Linked DNA regions of Drosophila melanogaster. The protein of the gene in region 2 interacts with the protein of the main gene of each other region in a pairwise test. Each region holds a gene or a part of one and is shown on either strand. Other genes may lie near its edges.

The links. The genes of interacting proteins can lie anywhere in the genome.
Region 1: the proteins of Rbp (region 2) and Fife interact in a two-hybrid assay, tested with the Drosophila melanogaster proteins (one study listed by BioGRID).

The regions. Positions count from the first base shown.
Region 1 is NT_037436.4:2,706,923-2,713,426, reverse strand, and holds the start of Fife (fife), read left to right. Parts: upstream 1-1,736; 5' UTR 1,737-2,075; intron 2,076-6,504.
Region 2 is NT_033777.3:15,370,553-15,378,968, reverse strand, and holds the start of Rbp (RIM-binding protein), read right to left. Parts: upstream 4,335-8,416; 5' UTR 4,108-4,334; coding exon 4,001-4,107; exon of another isoform or gene 3,292-4,000; intron 1-3,291. Other genes in the region: Ccm3 (cerebral cavernous malformation 3), read right to left, coding at 5,499-5,583, 5,956-6,120, 6,206-6,338, 6,397-6,574, 6,752-6,817; CG6136 (uncharacterized protein), read left to right, coding at 7,156-7,947.

The DNA of each region.
Region 1 (6,504 bases), on a different chromosome or scaffold from region 2:
TTCGGAACATGCATGAAAAAATCAACCTTATATAATCTTATGTTATGAGGATAACATTTCGAAATTTAGGCTTATGTATATGATTTTATCAATAGTAATTAGTTATACTTAAAAAACGTTCAGATTTTAAGTAGATTTTCTAAGGTTTTTAGTGATTTTTCCAAGTCTACCCCTGCGTGATTTCTTCTGCAGCATTCTGATGCCGTTCGTCCTTCAACAGACGCTGCTCCTTTCACACGCAACGCCTCAGCTCGCGTCCTTATTTTCCCTTTTCCACCTCGCGTTGGCACATTTTCCTTTTGCTGCCTCCTCAGCTTTTTTTCGCAGCTCCCCCTCGGCCCCTCACCACATTTCTTGGGGCCCATTGAATTTCATTGTGCGCTCAAATTGTTTTGGTATTCAAGCTTAAAGCACGCGACTGCTTCTATGCCTGTGGTCGGCCATCCTGCTCCTTGGCTCCTTGTGCTGCCACTGTTCCTTCTGTTTTCTGTTTTCCTTTTTTTTTGTTTTTTTTTTTTGCTGCTGCAGGTCCTGCCAGCGAGTGTGCTGGTGTGCGTGCGATGTTTTCGTCCTCGGCGATGTTCTCTGCCTTCCAGCGTATCCTGTTGCTTGCGAAACGCAACCAGTTGAACATTTCCAGCAGGACTCTCTGGGCCTCGGCTCCGCTCGGCTTTCAATATCGTCCTCCGGCGCTCTCTCGCGCTCTCGGGAAAGGATTTCTCTGCTTTTGCTCTCTCTGTTATTCGGCTGTTGCTTGGCACATGTTTAACGCGCAATTATTTTGGTCCTGTTGCGCTTTTTCCATCGCCTTTGTGAGAGTATGGGTGGCTGGATGGCTTAGTTTGTATTCAGACAAAGTCAACTTAAAGTTGCTAAAATAACGTAATTAATTCTGTTATTGAGCACTCAGAAATACACTTAGTTTCTGGTTTTAGATGGATTTTTAAAGTGCGTATATAAGTCCCTAAGGTAGCACTGGTAATCATTACTCCTTTTATTTAAGGATGAATTTTTTAAATGAAAATTCCCTAATACTTTGAATTCTAAACAAACGGTTCTTATAATTTGTTTTACTTTTAAAATTTATACTATACTTCCATTGCACAATTTAAATGTGCACCGAGTCATCAATCAGGTTGTTCCTCATTTTATCACTCGTTTATTTTAATAGAGATTAATTCATCAACATTACGATTATTATTATTATTATATTATATTATTCAATAAGTTCCGCTCCTTAAAAAGCCCCTAAATATCGTGATACCACCATCTCCATGGACATCCACATCATGATGGCCATCAGCATCATTGCTGGGCATGCAACAATTATGAAAAGTCTCCACTCGGGTACGCTTGTCCGCTCGTGTAGACCGAAATCGGCGGCAGGATGGCCGAGTGGATGGATAGAGAGCGCGCACCTTGTGGCAAGTGCGTGTGCGTGGGGGGGCGGGGCATGTGCGATAGGCGACGTTCGCAGCTGCCTGCATCCGCATCCAGGGAAATCGCTTAGCTGTTGCTTCGTGTGCGACTCGCAAGGTGGAAATTGATATTACTTTTTAATGCTGGGCCAGCTGGTGGCTGGCAGGACTTCCAGTGCGCGACAGGGAGGCGGTTATGCCGAGGAGCGGCCGTGCGACAGAGAGGGCGCGAGAAGCGAGAGCGCACTGCTTCGGCTCGAAGGACCAAAAGTGCCAGCCTCGTCACAGTTCGAGTTGAGCCGTCTCGCGAGCAGGACACCAAACGCGGAGGCTGACATATCCTGTCGCCAGGAACTTGGCAACTTGGGTACTTGGGAAACAGGAACCCAGGCTATAGGAGCTATAGCCTTTCTAACTTCTCCCGGCCAAGGTGTGCGTGTGCGCGAGTGTGGGTATCCTGGCTGTTGCTGCTGCTGTAACGGTGTGTGCTTTGTGCGTATGTGAGTGTGTGCGTAGCCGTGTTGTTGGCCAAACAAAAGCCAGAAGAAGTGACGAATAAATTTATAATCGCGCGCTTAACACACGCTACCTGAAAATATACATTTTGCAAAAAGTACTACTCTCACTTTAAGACTAAAAAATTGTTTAGACGCGCAGGTGAGTTGAATTCGTGTGTGCCAAAAATTGTTGTTATGAAAGGACTCGCGTGGCAGGCTAGCAAATAGTTTAATTTCCGGTCTGGCCATCAGGCGCACATCCGGTTTCAGTTTTATTTCCGTCTGTGCTCACTGCTCATTCACATGTTCCAGAATATATCTGCCAATTCTTAAATTCATTTCATAAATACGAATAGGACTTTTAAATTTGAAAGGGCAAAGCAATTTTTTCAGAGGTACCCACCACAAACTTAAACTTTTAAGCAGTAGTTTTCTTTTTTTGTTAAATCATATTTGCTATTTAATATTTAAGAAGAGTATATTTATGTGCCTTATAAAACTCCCAAGTACTTAAGAATTTTTCAAGACCTCGAATCGTTACTGCCAACTTTGTATTGGCTGGAAAAGTGCTTGGAAAAAGAATAAATGTATTGCAAAAGTCCCTGTCTGAATTTGATAAAATACCATTACACAAAAGGTATTGATTCCTGGTCCTGGCCCCTCCAACTAATTCCAAACGTATTAACCAGGCTTATGTCTTAGCCCTTGGGGGCTTTGAGAAAAGACGGCGGACAAACACCTCACAGGCTGGAAAATAAAACAACTTAATGAAGCAAGAAATTGAAAACATTATCAAGGCGATTAATTATTGATACTTTGATGTTGCCGGCCCCCGTCTAATTAATTTATAATTAAGTTAAGCATCTGCCCGGAGCTCACTCTTTGGATTTCGCTGCTTGAGCTTTAAGTCGAGGATGAGGAGCAACTTTAAGCTGTCTTCGGCACCTGCTTCAGCAATTTTTGCGATTGAGACTTTATGGACGTGACCCGCCTGCCGTATCGATGGCAATCAGATTGTTGGGCTGTTTGGGATGACTGGGGTGAGGCTTGGCTAATGCCTGCTTCTGGCCAGCCAACTGTCATTACTCTTGGCCCTAATCCCTGGCCGAGTTTGTGGCGCTCCACTCGAACGGATCCTGAGCCCCACAGCTGAGCCCCTGCACTTACACCTGCCATCGCGTCTGGTCGAGGTCTGCTCCAAAGTGCCTTTATTATGCCATTTTAATTTAGATTCCTATCAATCAGTAATAAGCATTGTGTCCACCCGCACAGACAGCAAAAAAAGCGTTAAAAACGAAGAGATATTAGCTATTAGGGTCAGGAGCATTAGCTTAATATCCGCTTGATTTTTATTACAAAAACTTGATTAAATTGGATTTCCACACTCAGCGGGCAAAGCGAAAATTGGGTTTAAAGTAAATTTCAGATTTATGAAGTCAGAGAATTTTGGGCTTTCTCTTAATCCATTAAATATTACTCATATTTCCGAACATGAAATGTATTTTTCCCCTTTCAAGGGTGAAACATCAATGTCATAATTTACGAATTCATTTGATTGTTTTTACAAGACTCACAATTTGTATTGATATTTCCCACAGTTTTCGCAGAAAGTTTTATAGCATTCGAAGGGAGTAAACAAAGTTGTTTAGTTTTCCTGTTTTGAGCGGATATGCAAATCAAGCGGCAAAACTCATTTCAGTTTCCCCACAAAATCGCCAACAACAAGAAGACAAGGGAAAAGTTAACCAAAACAACAAATGCTAGGCGAAACTGATGAAAAAAAAAAGAAAACTCATTCGGATCGTTTGCATAAATTTGCGTCTTATTTTGTTGGCAATTTATATGCGCAGCCGAATGACACACGCATTTTAATTGAAAGCAAATAAAAGACTCTATAATACATAATATGACAAGCCATAATCCTGACAGCAACAGTTATGCATGCTGACAGCTCGCAGCGTAGGGAAAATGTGGGGAAAAGCGTGCCGAAAACTGGGTCGGAAAAGCGGTGGACTGCCGCGGAGTGGCGGACAAATCCGGAAAATGGACAGCAGGCAAATGCTGACAGGCTGGCCAGCCCAGCGAGTCTAATGGCATTTTAAACAACTGAACTGATGGCCAGTTAGCCCGCTTTTCCCTCGCATGTGTGTGCCCATCGAAATGTATTCATTAATGTCGTCTGCAAAGTCAAAGTGTTTAAAATGTTCAACACGCCCGGGGCACATCCTGGTATCATTATATCCTTGGCCCATCAAGTACACAAACACACGCACGTACGTGTGCAGCCCCAGGATGCCCGCAAAAGGATTAGGCCCTTTGTTTTGGCCCTGCCTAGCAGATTTGGCTCATTCTGGTTGCGCTTTAATCAAAAGCAGAAATTAATTAACTTTGTGCCGAGGATTCCAGACTTATCTCTTCACGGCGTGTGTTGTGAATAATGAACGTTTCCCGGACTCTTGGATTGCGAGATGCAAAATACCAAATTGCCGCTTCATTTGCACAACAATTTTTAATAAAGCAGCAGCAAAGTGAACGAATTTTTTCCCGTCGACGACTTTTGACCGGGTTTTCCGGACGTAAACAAGCGGAGGACCCAAAAAAAAATAAAAATAAAATAACCAAAAAACTGCGGGCCGCAGATAAAAAACGCGTAAACAAATAACCGACATAAAGCGCATAAAGTGAATGATGCTGGCCACAGGCGCAAATATTTATTTTACATTTTTAAATAAGTCGCTCACATTTGTTGTATTTGGCCTGATGTCGACATCCCATTTGATATATACACATAAAAAACTGATGCAGAGTAAAAAATTCCGTTTATTTACATGCTTCTTATCTGCTTTAATGCATTTACTCAAAACATTCAATACATTTTTATATTCATAAAAACATACTGTTGATTTATGAATCAGCTTAAAGACAACATATAGGAAATACCTTACTGACTTTCTACCTTTTGGGCTTTAAATCGGGTGTATATTAATACTTATATAATTATCGGAACATAAGTTTTTCTTCAGTCACTTTGTGTTTCGTTTATCAATCTTTTAAGCATCCAAATTTCTTTTTTATATCTATTGCTTTCAGTGGGGAATTTAACTAATTGAATTTCGTTGGCATGTCCACTCAACACGAAACTCGGAGGCCATTCCCTTTTTTTGTTGATCCTTTTGCAAGTTACGCATGCCAAACTGTGCAAAGTGCAGACTTACGCAAAAAATCGAAGGCTTCTAAGTGGAAGGAGTTGAAGGATATGGGCGCTGGGTGGGGGTGGGTGAATTGCGCCCCACTCACATTTTCCAGCTTTTCCCACTCACAGGAGGCTGTCGTGCAGGGGAAATCGGTGAACGGAGCACTTGTCGTTTGCACGCTCCTCTATTTACTTTCTGCGGCTCGACGAATTCCCAATTAAAATGTTTGCCCACAGTTCTGGCAAGTAGGTAGTTTGGAGCAGCTCTTGTTCACTGGTAATTTGCATACGTGGATGCGTGACTATGTCCCGAAACACAATTTCTCGTTACGGGCCCCATGAAAAGCAACTATCCGACTCCAGGGTGCAAAAAAAGTGTTGGCTGGCAGAAATAAATTACACTTTTTCGCTCGATTTTAATCCTGGAAATGCTGAATTTTTCCCGTGAAATACAGCAAACTTTGAGTGAATTAAAGAGAGCTTTGACGTAAATTACTTTTATGTCTTGCAGCTTTTTAATTTATTTAACGGAACCAAAACAAATTGCATTAGAGTTTCAGTTAAAAGCTACAGACCATATTAATATTTAGAAATAATTTTTGTGTAACTGAGTTACTAGATTAGAAACACTTTTACTTTAGTAACCATGATTTTTAATTATCATGTTACATACAATTATTTACCTGTCCCCATTTTTATTTGACAGTCTAATTTAGATATTTCTGCTAGAAAGCCAGCGAAACCCATAGGGATTTTCTCCACTTGTCTTAACTTGGCCAAATCGCCGCTACACGGACAGTGACAAAATGCTACAAATTTTACAATTTCCCTGTGCCATTTAAGGTCTTCTTCTGGATGATAGCATTGTCCGCCGGCTGTTGGCGTTGCTATTACCGTAACGCGGAGTATCTGTAATATCCGGGCGCCACAAGAAGTAAGGAGGAGCAGGGAATAGGATACCTAGGATATATAGGCCATCCAGGCAGACAGTGACAGAAGGTAGATAGCCCAGGCACTGCGCTACTTGGTCGCCCTGTGTTTACATTTTGTTAAACGCGACCCTGACCCGCTTCCAACTCAGCCCTAGGTGTTTTGCTTCTCCTGCTCCTGCTCATCCTAGTCCTATCCCAGTCCCTTCTCACAACGTGTAATCGCTCAAAGCAGCTGATAATGGCTCCACTGGCTGCTGACGCCTCTCCAATCCTCCCAGCCCAATCACACTTGAAAAAAAAATCATTTCAAATTTCATTAATTAAATTCTTTTTAATTTAAAGAATAACCTTGTACTTTTATAGATAGATTTGATATGGTTTTATTTCCTCTTCGACCGGCTTTCAATGCGAATATATTGCATTTTGGTCCCTGTAATGAATGAAAGGACCTCTTTCTCATTGTG
Region 2 (8,416 bases):
AAGCGCATTGCAAGCATTTTGCAATTGAAGTCGATGTGGCCAAGAAGCCTTTGTTGATGTCAGTTGTAAAAGTACACAGAAAGAAACGAAAATTTGTAATACAATGTTCCGCGAAGATATGCATAAGTAAATGTAACAGTACTCATTAAAACCTAGTTTTCATATGCCGGGAAGAATAAAGTCTTAAAGGATAATACTGTCATACTAAGGCACCTTCATATAAGTATGCAATGCAAGGGTTATTTTTGTATAAAAGGAATTCTTATGTTCTCAAGTTAAGATATTTTTTGATAAGTTTATTTAGCTGATTGCTCGTTGTAGTACATGAAAACCCATTGTTTCCTTTAATGTACCAGTAAGGTTATTTTTTTTTTCAGTTAGTTAGTCTTATATGTTTGACGTGTCCTTTGTCCGGCAGAATCCCTAGATTGCTATCCGGCCGCTGTCATTTCCTTGTTTGTCTTCAAACACAACATCAGTTCTAGCCACTTACGTCTCCTCTCCCCCCTTCCCATTCCCCCTCCCCCTTCGCCACAATTCCCCTCGTCCTGCCTTAACCCTCCGCTGGGCACCCAGCGATAGTGTCTGTCTGTGCCTGTCGGTGACTATTTTAAGCACCCCACCGTTTGCCGCACACTTTCGTGGACTTGAGCAGTGCTTGGCACCATTTATCTCCACACAACCACACATACGCACTCGTGCATGTACGCACACACACAGCGACAGGAGCCTACGTCACAGGCGACTTGTTTGCCAGCCTCCCAAACACAGAGCAAAATTGAAGCCATCATGAATTAATTATCCTTGGTTAAAGGTCCATTCCATCAGACCATTAATAAGCCAAAATGTATGTCATTTTAAGCTTATAACTTACCAAGTTAATGCGAACAAATTATAAAAATAAATATTATGTTAATCAAATGAATGAAAAAGTTTTTTAAATGAATGATTAATGTACACGCTTTTAAACTGAAATCCTTGGCAATTATTTACTTAAAGTGCTGTCAGTAAGCAAAGCGATCTAGTTAGCAATTAAACATTTAACCTCTGGTCTCAGTGCGTTCTTTAAGGAGGAGGTGGCATCGATGTCTGGTGGTGTTGTGAGGGGGCTTGAAATTTTAATGAGTTCTTAAAGTGCAGATTAGCCGGAGCCTCAGACTGCGCACCAGGCAGCCTCTTCGGAGGTCCGATGGAACCAACCAAGCCACCCAAAACTGGGTTGCGGCCTGGCTATGCTTTACACTCTATTAACCCACATTCTGGCCAAAGTCGTTGCGGCCATCGGAGTAAATTAAATGGAAAATTCCCATTCACTCGGAACTGAGGCACGTTATCTAACAGGGAGAAAGCAGGGAATTGGGAAGGTAACCTCTGCCAGCACAGTATCTTTATTTCCGCACAACGTGCCGTATGCGTAATATCATTTACAACTGCAAGGCGACTGTCTAGTGAAATATACAAAAAGTCGTAATTAAAACAATATTCGTTGACTATTCGTGGTTGGAAAAAAACGCCACAAAGAAATGAAACGAAATATTCCTGCCAACTTTGTTGGCCCCAAACTTCGACAAACTAATTTAAAAACTTTGTTGCGTTTTTGGTTTTTGGCGCGCAGCAACTTTGATTTACTTTGAAATGAAGTGCCCAGAAAACCAAGAAAAAAAAGCGGGAGAACAAAAGTTGCAACTGCAAAATGGCAATTTCCACCTTGTGTGTTGACAGACAAGTTTGCAAAGAAAGGCAATTAATTAGCATCCGGAATCGGTTGCCTTGGCAAACTCACGAAAAATGCAAAAAGTTGGCCATACCAAGCTAATATTTACATATTCTCCAGCAAAGGTCGGTGAAAGTTTTAAAGCACCATTGTCTGCTCTTCGATGCCCTAATGAGCTGTCGTTCAATTAATTGAATGCTCACACACTTGGGCCATAACAATCAAGTGCTTCTAATTGCAGCAATTATAGCCGACGAAGGCAGGGGCCAACAGCCATTGCCAACAATTACATGCATAAATAGTCGACAATGTGCTCGAGAATATGACGAGTGGCAAGTCCTAAAAATAACACTGCGAGCAGAAACTTTTTAAAGTCGAGCAATTACAATTACAATTACATTTAAGATGTTGGGAAAAGTTCATTATCCTGCTGCTGGCATGACCTCAATCGCAGAGCCAAGGAAAAAAGCGAACCAGAACACGAGCACAAAAACTATCTTGCCTATTTATAACAAGCTGCTCACACACAGGCACACACACAGACCCACGAATTTCGTCGCTTCTGGCGCTGAAATACTATAGAAAAAAACCATAGCACAGTTATGGGGTGGAAAACCAAACCGCCAAACCGGGAAATGGGAAGTGGTTCGGAGAGAAGCAGGGGGATCCCCGCCTGTGGACATCTCATGGTCGCAGTTTGGCTGGCAGCCCAGCATATAAATTATTGAATGATTGCCATCTGTCAAAATTGGCCAAACTCAACGATTAATCCTGCTCGGAAAAATCCAATAAAATCATAATGGCTTTTCTTTTCAAGCCGTTCTTTATATTTTTCAACACGGGGGATCTTTCTGTTGGCTTAAAGGAAAATTCAATTGAATAGTTGCACATTTGAGTTCTTCATGTATTAAATACATATGCAACATGTTAATTTAAATTTGGCCAATTATGTTTTAATTCATCTACAGAAAAAACTACATATTTATAGAAGGAAGCTATGAAGACTTTCTTTTCATAATAAGCCCGTCTAGGTTGTGATAATGTTGTATTAAGTATCCGCAACGTGTACCAGGCCATCGACGCGTGACTTTCGATCATTGCAGTGGAAACTGAGTACAGTGGGCTATAAATATATACGAAATACGTGAAAGCATTCAATCGGTGGAAAGTGCTGTTACGGGTATTAAAACACCGCTCCAGAGAAGGTAACGGTAACCGCATGCACGCTGTAGATACCTTTAGTGTACATATATATGTATGCATATGTACATGCATACGTACATACACACGAACGTGTGTGGTGGGTGTACACTGTATGTAGTATGTGTGTTACGCACGCAGCAGCAAACAACTTTAACATTGTTGTTGCGCAGGCTGTGGGACAAGTGTGAAGTGAAAACCGCCCCCAGAGTGCGAACCCAAAAAGTGGGACTTTTCTGCTGCTGCTGCTGCTGGTGCTGCTGGAAGCTTATGAATATGAAACGCTCACACACACATGCTGCTCCTGCCGTTGTGGCACTTGCAGTGGTATTGGTGCTGCTCCAGTTTCGTTGGCCATTTACATCTACTTTACTTACATGCCTCTCGCTCTTTTCGCTTTCTCTGTATGTGTGTGGCGGGTGTATGCGTGAGTGTGTGTGGGTGCGCGCTTTTTTGTGCCAAAATGTAGCTGAACTCTGCTTTTAGCCAATTTCTCCGATTTTATTTAGGCATTTTTCTATAATTTCGGTTTCATTCACCATTTCGCCTGCCTCGGTTTTACAGTGATTACCCGCATTTGCATATTGTATATGCATCAGCATGTGGGCGAGTATGTATATGTATATGTTTGGATATATGTATGCATGTGAGTGTGTGTGGGAGAGTGTAGTTTTACGCTGGCTGCTCTTTTTCGTATTTTTTTTTTTTTTTTGCCTTTATCGATATGCTTACACTTTTACTTTTCACTGTCCCACCATTTTCCCGGAATCATTATATCTTTCACTGGATTTTTTAACTGCACTCGCGGCGAGCTTTTTCACGTTATTGGCGAGAAAATGAAATTTTCACGCAGCAGCGGTGCTGTTGGGCAAACATTTGGTGTACAGCGAAATTTTTCGTGAGCTCGCTCGCTCGCATAACAGCTCTTTTTTTCAGCTTGCGCAAAATAAGTATTTACCACGCGATTTTGACACTTTTTGCTTAAACTGCGGTTTTCGTTTTCGGAAGCACAGGATTTTATCCTTTCTTTTTGGGTTAACTTTTTGTAATATTTTGTATTCGGGGGCTTTTGAACGGGTTGCGAACCTTTTTTGCTGCTTGTGCTTCTGCTTCTTGCTTGCTGCTGCTGCTGCTTTTTCAGGTCGCCTGTTTTCCTCTTCCACGTTTGCGCTGGGAAATTCACATAAATGCATATAGTTTACACTAGGCTACGTAGGCTGTACATAATATATCCGAAAAACGCGATCGTTTCACTGCTACTATATAGAAAAAAACTCCGCCTAGTTGTCCACTTTCTGTGGGTAGTAGCAGTTGGGTCTCAGTGCGAATACCGAAAAGTGGGTCATCTCGGTCGCGCTGCTGGCGCACTCTGATTTCTACCCAACTGCCAGCTCGGTGCTCAGTGTGCCAGAGCAGAGTGGCCCAGAGAACCCAGAGCCGAGCACTCAGTACCCAGTGCCCACTATTCAGTGTGCGGGGAATCGATTTTTCTGCCAAATGACACTGAAAAACGGGCAATTCTCTCCCGCTCTCAGAAGGACTCCTTTGGGGTTGCAACTGGGTAAATTTCTGCTCAGGGCCTGTTATTGGGGGTTTACTATTACTTTTGGCTGTTATCCGTTAACAGCGCTGTCCTCTGTTAACGACATGTGCGTGTAAATCTGAGATTTTGATTTCAGTTTACCAATCTCTGATTTTCGAAATCAATTCTCGGGTAATATAAAACAATTATTTCCACATCATACCACACCTAATACTATAAATTATAAAGTAATTTTACGTAAATTGGTTAAATATGAAACACTCTTTTCAATTTTGGAATATAAATACATTTATTTGTCGTTTTCTTTTCGCTATGTCTACATTATGAGTTTGTTGCCGTTCTTTTACTTTTGCTTAGTGTTCGATTTTCATATAACATTTTATTAATTAAAATAATTTTTTCTCCATCCTGTTGATAGTGCTGTCGGCCACTAATGTCTTTCGCTTTCGCAGTTTTCAAATAGAACATATCATTAAGTAAAAGATTATTATGTATAGTGTTTAAATTTCAAACTCTAACAATTAAAAACAGTTAAAAATTTAAGTGTTCCGTTAATGTTTTTGTTTGTCATCTCCCCGTAGTACATACATTTCCTGTTTCTCGTTTTTTTTCCACTAATTTTAAATTTATTCGTAGGCGCTTCTCCTAAACAAAAACAAACTAGCCGATGTTGTTTGTTAACAGAAAAAGAATGAATTATTTACAATAAATTGTAAACGAAAAATAAACTCTCGCACACATCGTCCGTCTCCATAAATAGTTGCTCACTAGTTAATTACAATGCTTAGGCTTCGCAAAATTTTGTGTCCGAGTATGTGTAATACATATGTATATACGATATAAATTAGGCCTATTTATTTAGTTACAACAGATTTTCATTTACGTTCAAACATTTAACTTGGACTGCGTCGGGCGATTTTGTATTTAAGTGTGTTGAGTTTATTTGATTTGTTTCGGTCTTGGTATGTTAAATGGTTATTTAAACATAAAATTAAAATGCCACTAATTAATTAATTTGCCATAATTAAAGGATTTAATTCTCTACTCGCATTTACTCTTAACTGTCAGCATTATTTGATTCGTTTGCCGTATTAGAAAAAGTGCACTTATGAATACTGCATTCGGTCTGAAAATAGATAAAATAAAAGAGAATCGGTTAGAAAATCCTTGCTGAAGCAATTTGAATTAGTAATGCAATTTGGCCCCAATTTCATGAAAAGGTCAGCGGTAATAGCCATTAGTACGTAATCGAAGCAATTTACAATTTAAAATGGGCGGGGGTCCGGCTTAATATCCGCCCCTCAGAATCTCCGGCGCAAAATGATAAACCAAACAATACCCGGAATGCCAATGGAATGACATCATCTCAACGGTTGGCCCGAAACGATAAGAAACCAGATATGAGCCGATTTAAAGAAACCGGCTGTCATGGCGTCGCAGCGTATCGTTTGATAACACATATAGTAAATAATCACTGCAGGTGATTCTTAATACTTACTGTCCTTCTTTGAAGTACTCCTTCAGCGTTGTGCTGAACTTCTTGGAATATTTGACGAACTCCTTCTTACGCTGCTCCACAGCCTGCTTGCCCGTTACGCCAGGTATAAACGAGCCGATCTCGTTGACCACATCGAGTAGTTTCTTTATGGCGCTGGCGATTTCCCTGTAAAACGCAGTAAAATTTCATTATTCATTAATCAGTTAAGCTTATGCAGTGAGTTTTAGCTTCATTTTGAGTTTTTACTTACTTGATGGTCTCCAGGAAGGTCTTCCTGTCGTTTATCTCATCGGGTATGCGGCTGAGGATCACCTTGAGAGCCACGGACTTACGATTGAGCTCCTGGAAGGGCTCCTCCGTGCGCGTCAAGCGGTATTCATTGACTGTGGAAGGGGGAAACTTCGTTAGCTACGAAACTCAGCTGCTGGCGTGGCTACTTACGGTCCGCTTCCGTAATTTTGCCCTGCAATCGGAGCACGGCCTCGTTTAGGTTAACATTCAGATCGGCCCGCCGCACAATTGTGGCTACGAGGTCATAGCAGAAGCCCGGATTGTTCTGCTCCGACTTGAGAATGGCGGAGCGCAGAGATTGGGCAGCGCCAACGTCGCGTCGCTCGAGCTGCAGGTAAACGTACACAAAGTTAAGCAATTACAAACCCAAGTACCCCATGTAAAGGTTTACGCAACAGGCCACGATCTGACGGGGCTGAAGGGTTCAGAGGTACGGTTTGGGGCTGACGGGTTCGGAGCAGAGCACAGCAGAGCGGAGCCGAGCACCTGGGATCGTTTCACCTACCTGGGAGAAAATGGGCCGCAGTATGACGGGCAGAACGAGAGACGACGTGGGCTCGCCCATTGTCATTGCTACTAGTGTGCTTGGTCTTCTCTACTGGTGCCTAGGTATCCTGGCGCATGCTGCAGGAACCCAGTTGCGATTCCCGTTCCGTGCGATGTCCGTCGCTTCGCTCGCACGACGCTCGCAAATCAAATTAAAAAATTAACAAAAATTGTTCACAACAGCACAGGCACAGTGTTGTTTTTCAATACTGGAAACTAACTGGTTTTTATCGATGAACGTGTCGTGCTTGGTTAGATATCGATTGCTTCTGTAGAAGCTGATGGTAGAATCAGCTGATTTACATAAACCTATCGGAACTCTGCAATAAATTGGTTTATTTTTGTTTACCTGTCCTTTTATCAATGATAAGAGAAATGTCCAACCACGATATCAAGCTGGAGGTCTGCGTGGACTCCATACGATCGGCTTTTGCCGCCGAGGAAGGCGGAGCTTCACGCATTGAACTGTGTTCGGCATTGGGCGAAGGTGGCTTGACACCCAGCATCGGTACCCTAAAAACTATTAAGGAAACGCTCACAATGCCCATTTACTGCATGCTGAGGCCACGGCGGGGCACCGACTTTGTCTACAGCGACGAGGAGATGTGCGCCCTGCTCACGGACATGGACTTGCTGCGGGAAAACGGTGCCGATGGCTTCGTTTTCGGATCCCTGAATCCGGATCGCAGCATCAACGTGGATCAGTGTCGGCACGTTTTGCTGGCGTCCGGTGGTCTGCCAGTGACCTTTCACCGCGCCTTCGACCTCACCGACCAGAAGTCCATGGACGAGAATGTCGACATGTTGCGGGAACTAGGTTTCCGACGTCTGCTGAGCAGCGGATTCCGACCCACGGCTGCCGATGGCGTAGATTGCCTGGCACAGCTGATAGCCAAACATCAAAGAGACTTTATAGTTATGCCCGGCGCCGGCATAAAGGTGTCCAACCTGGAGGAGATCCTCACGGTCAGTCGCTGCCTAGAGTTTCACGCTTCCGCCCTGGACACGGCTGGCGAGGACTACGTGGCGCCCACCACCACGCGAATGGAGTGTGACGTGACCATGGGCAAACAGGACGTGGACCCCTACTACGGAACCAACTCCATCGTGGTGCGAAAGATGGTTACCATTGCGAAAGCGATGAGCTCCCGCTGAAAATCATAGTACTTAACCTATCCCTAAGACTTAAATTATTCCTTAACTGTTTGTTTACATCATATATAACTAGTATATACCTTTTACTTAAGTAGTCTTATCCCTAAAATTCTAAATTCTAAAAAATAATCCAAATTTGATTTGATTTGATTGTGCTGAAACAACATGATTGTGGAGATAGTAGAGAATCCTGCTGCTCTAGAACATAATTCTTTTAATGATCACTTAAATAATGCAGAAAGGGTATTGCATAGAATAGAAGCATACAATGTAAAGCTAAATAATCATATGAGGAGATTGAAAGAACTGCTGGCCAACAATAGAAGATTGATTTCGGGGCTATCGTACAATGAGCACAGCATTAAATCTTTATTGGAAAACAAAGCTCAAGATAAACAAATAGAGTAAGCTAAAGAAGGAAATATGAACTCGGTTATAAACTAATATATTTTTAGGCGAAATTCAAGTA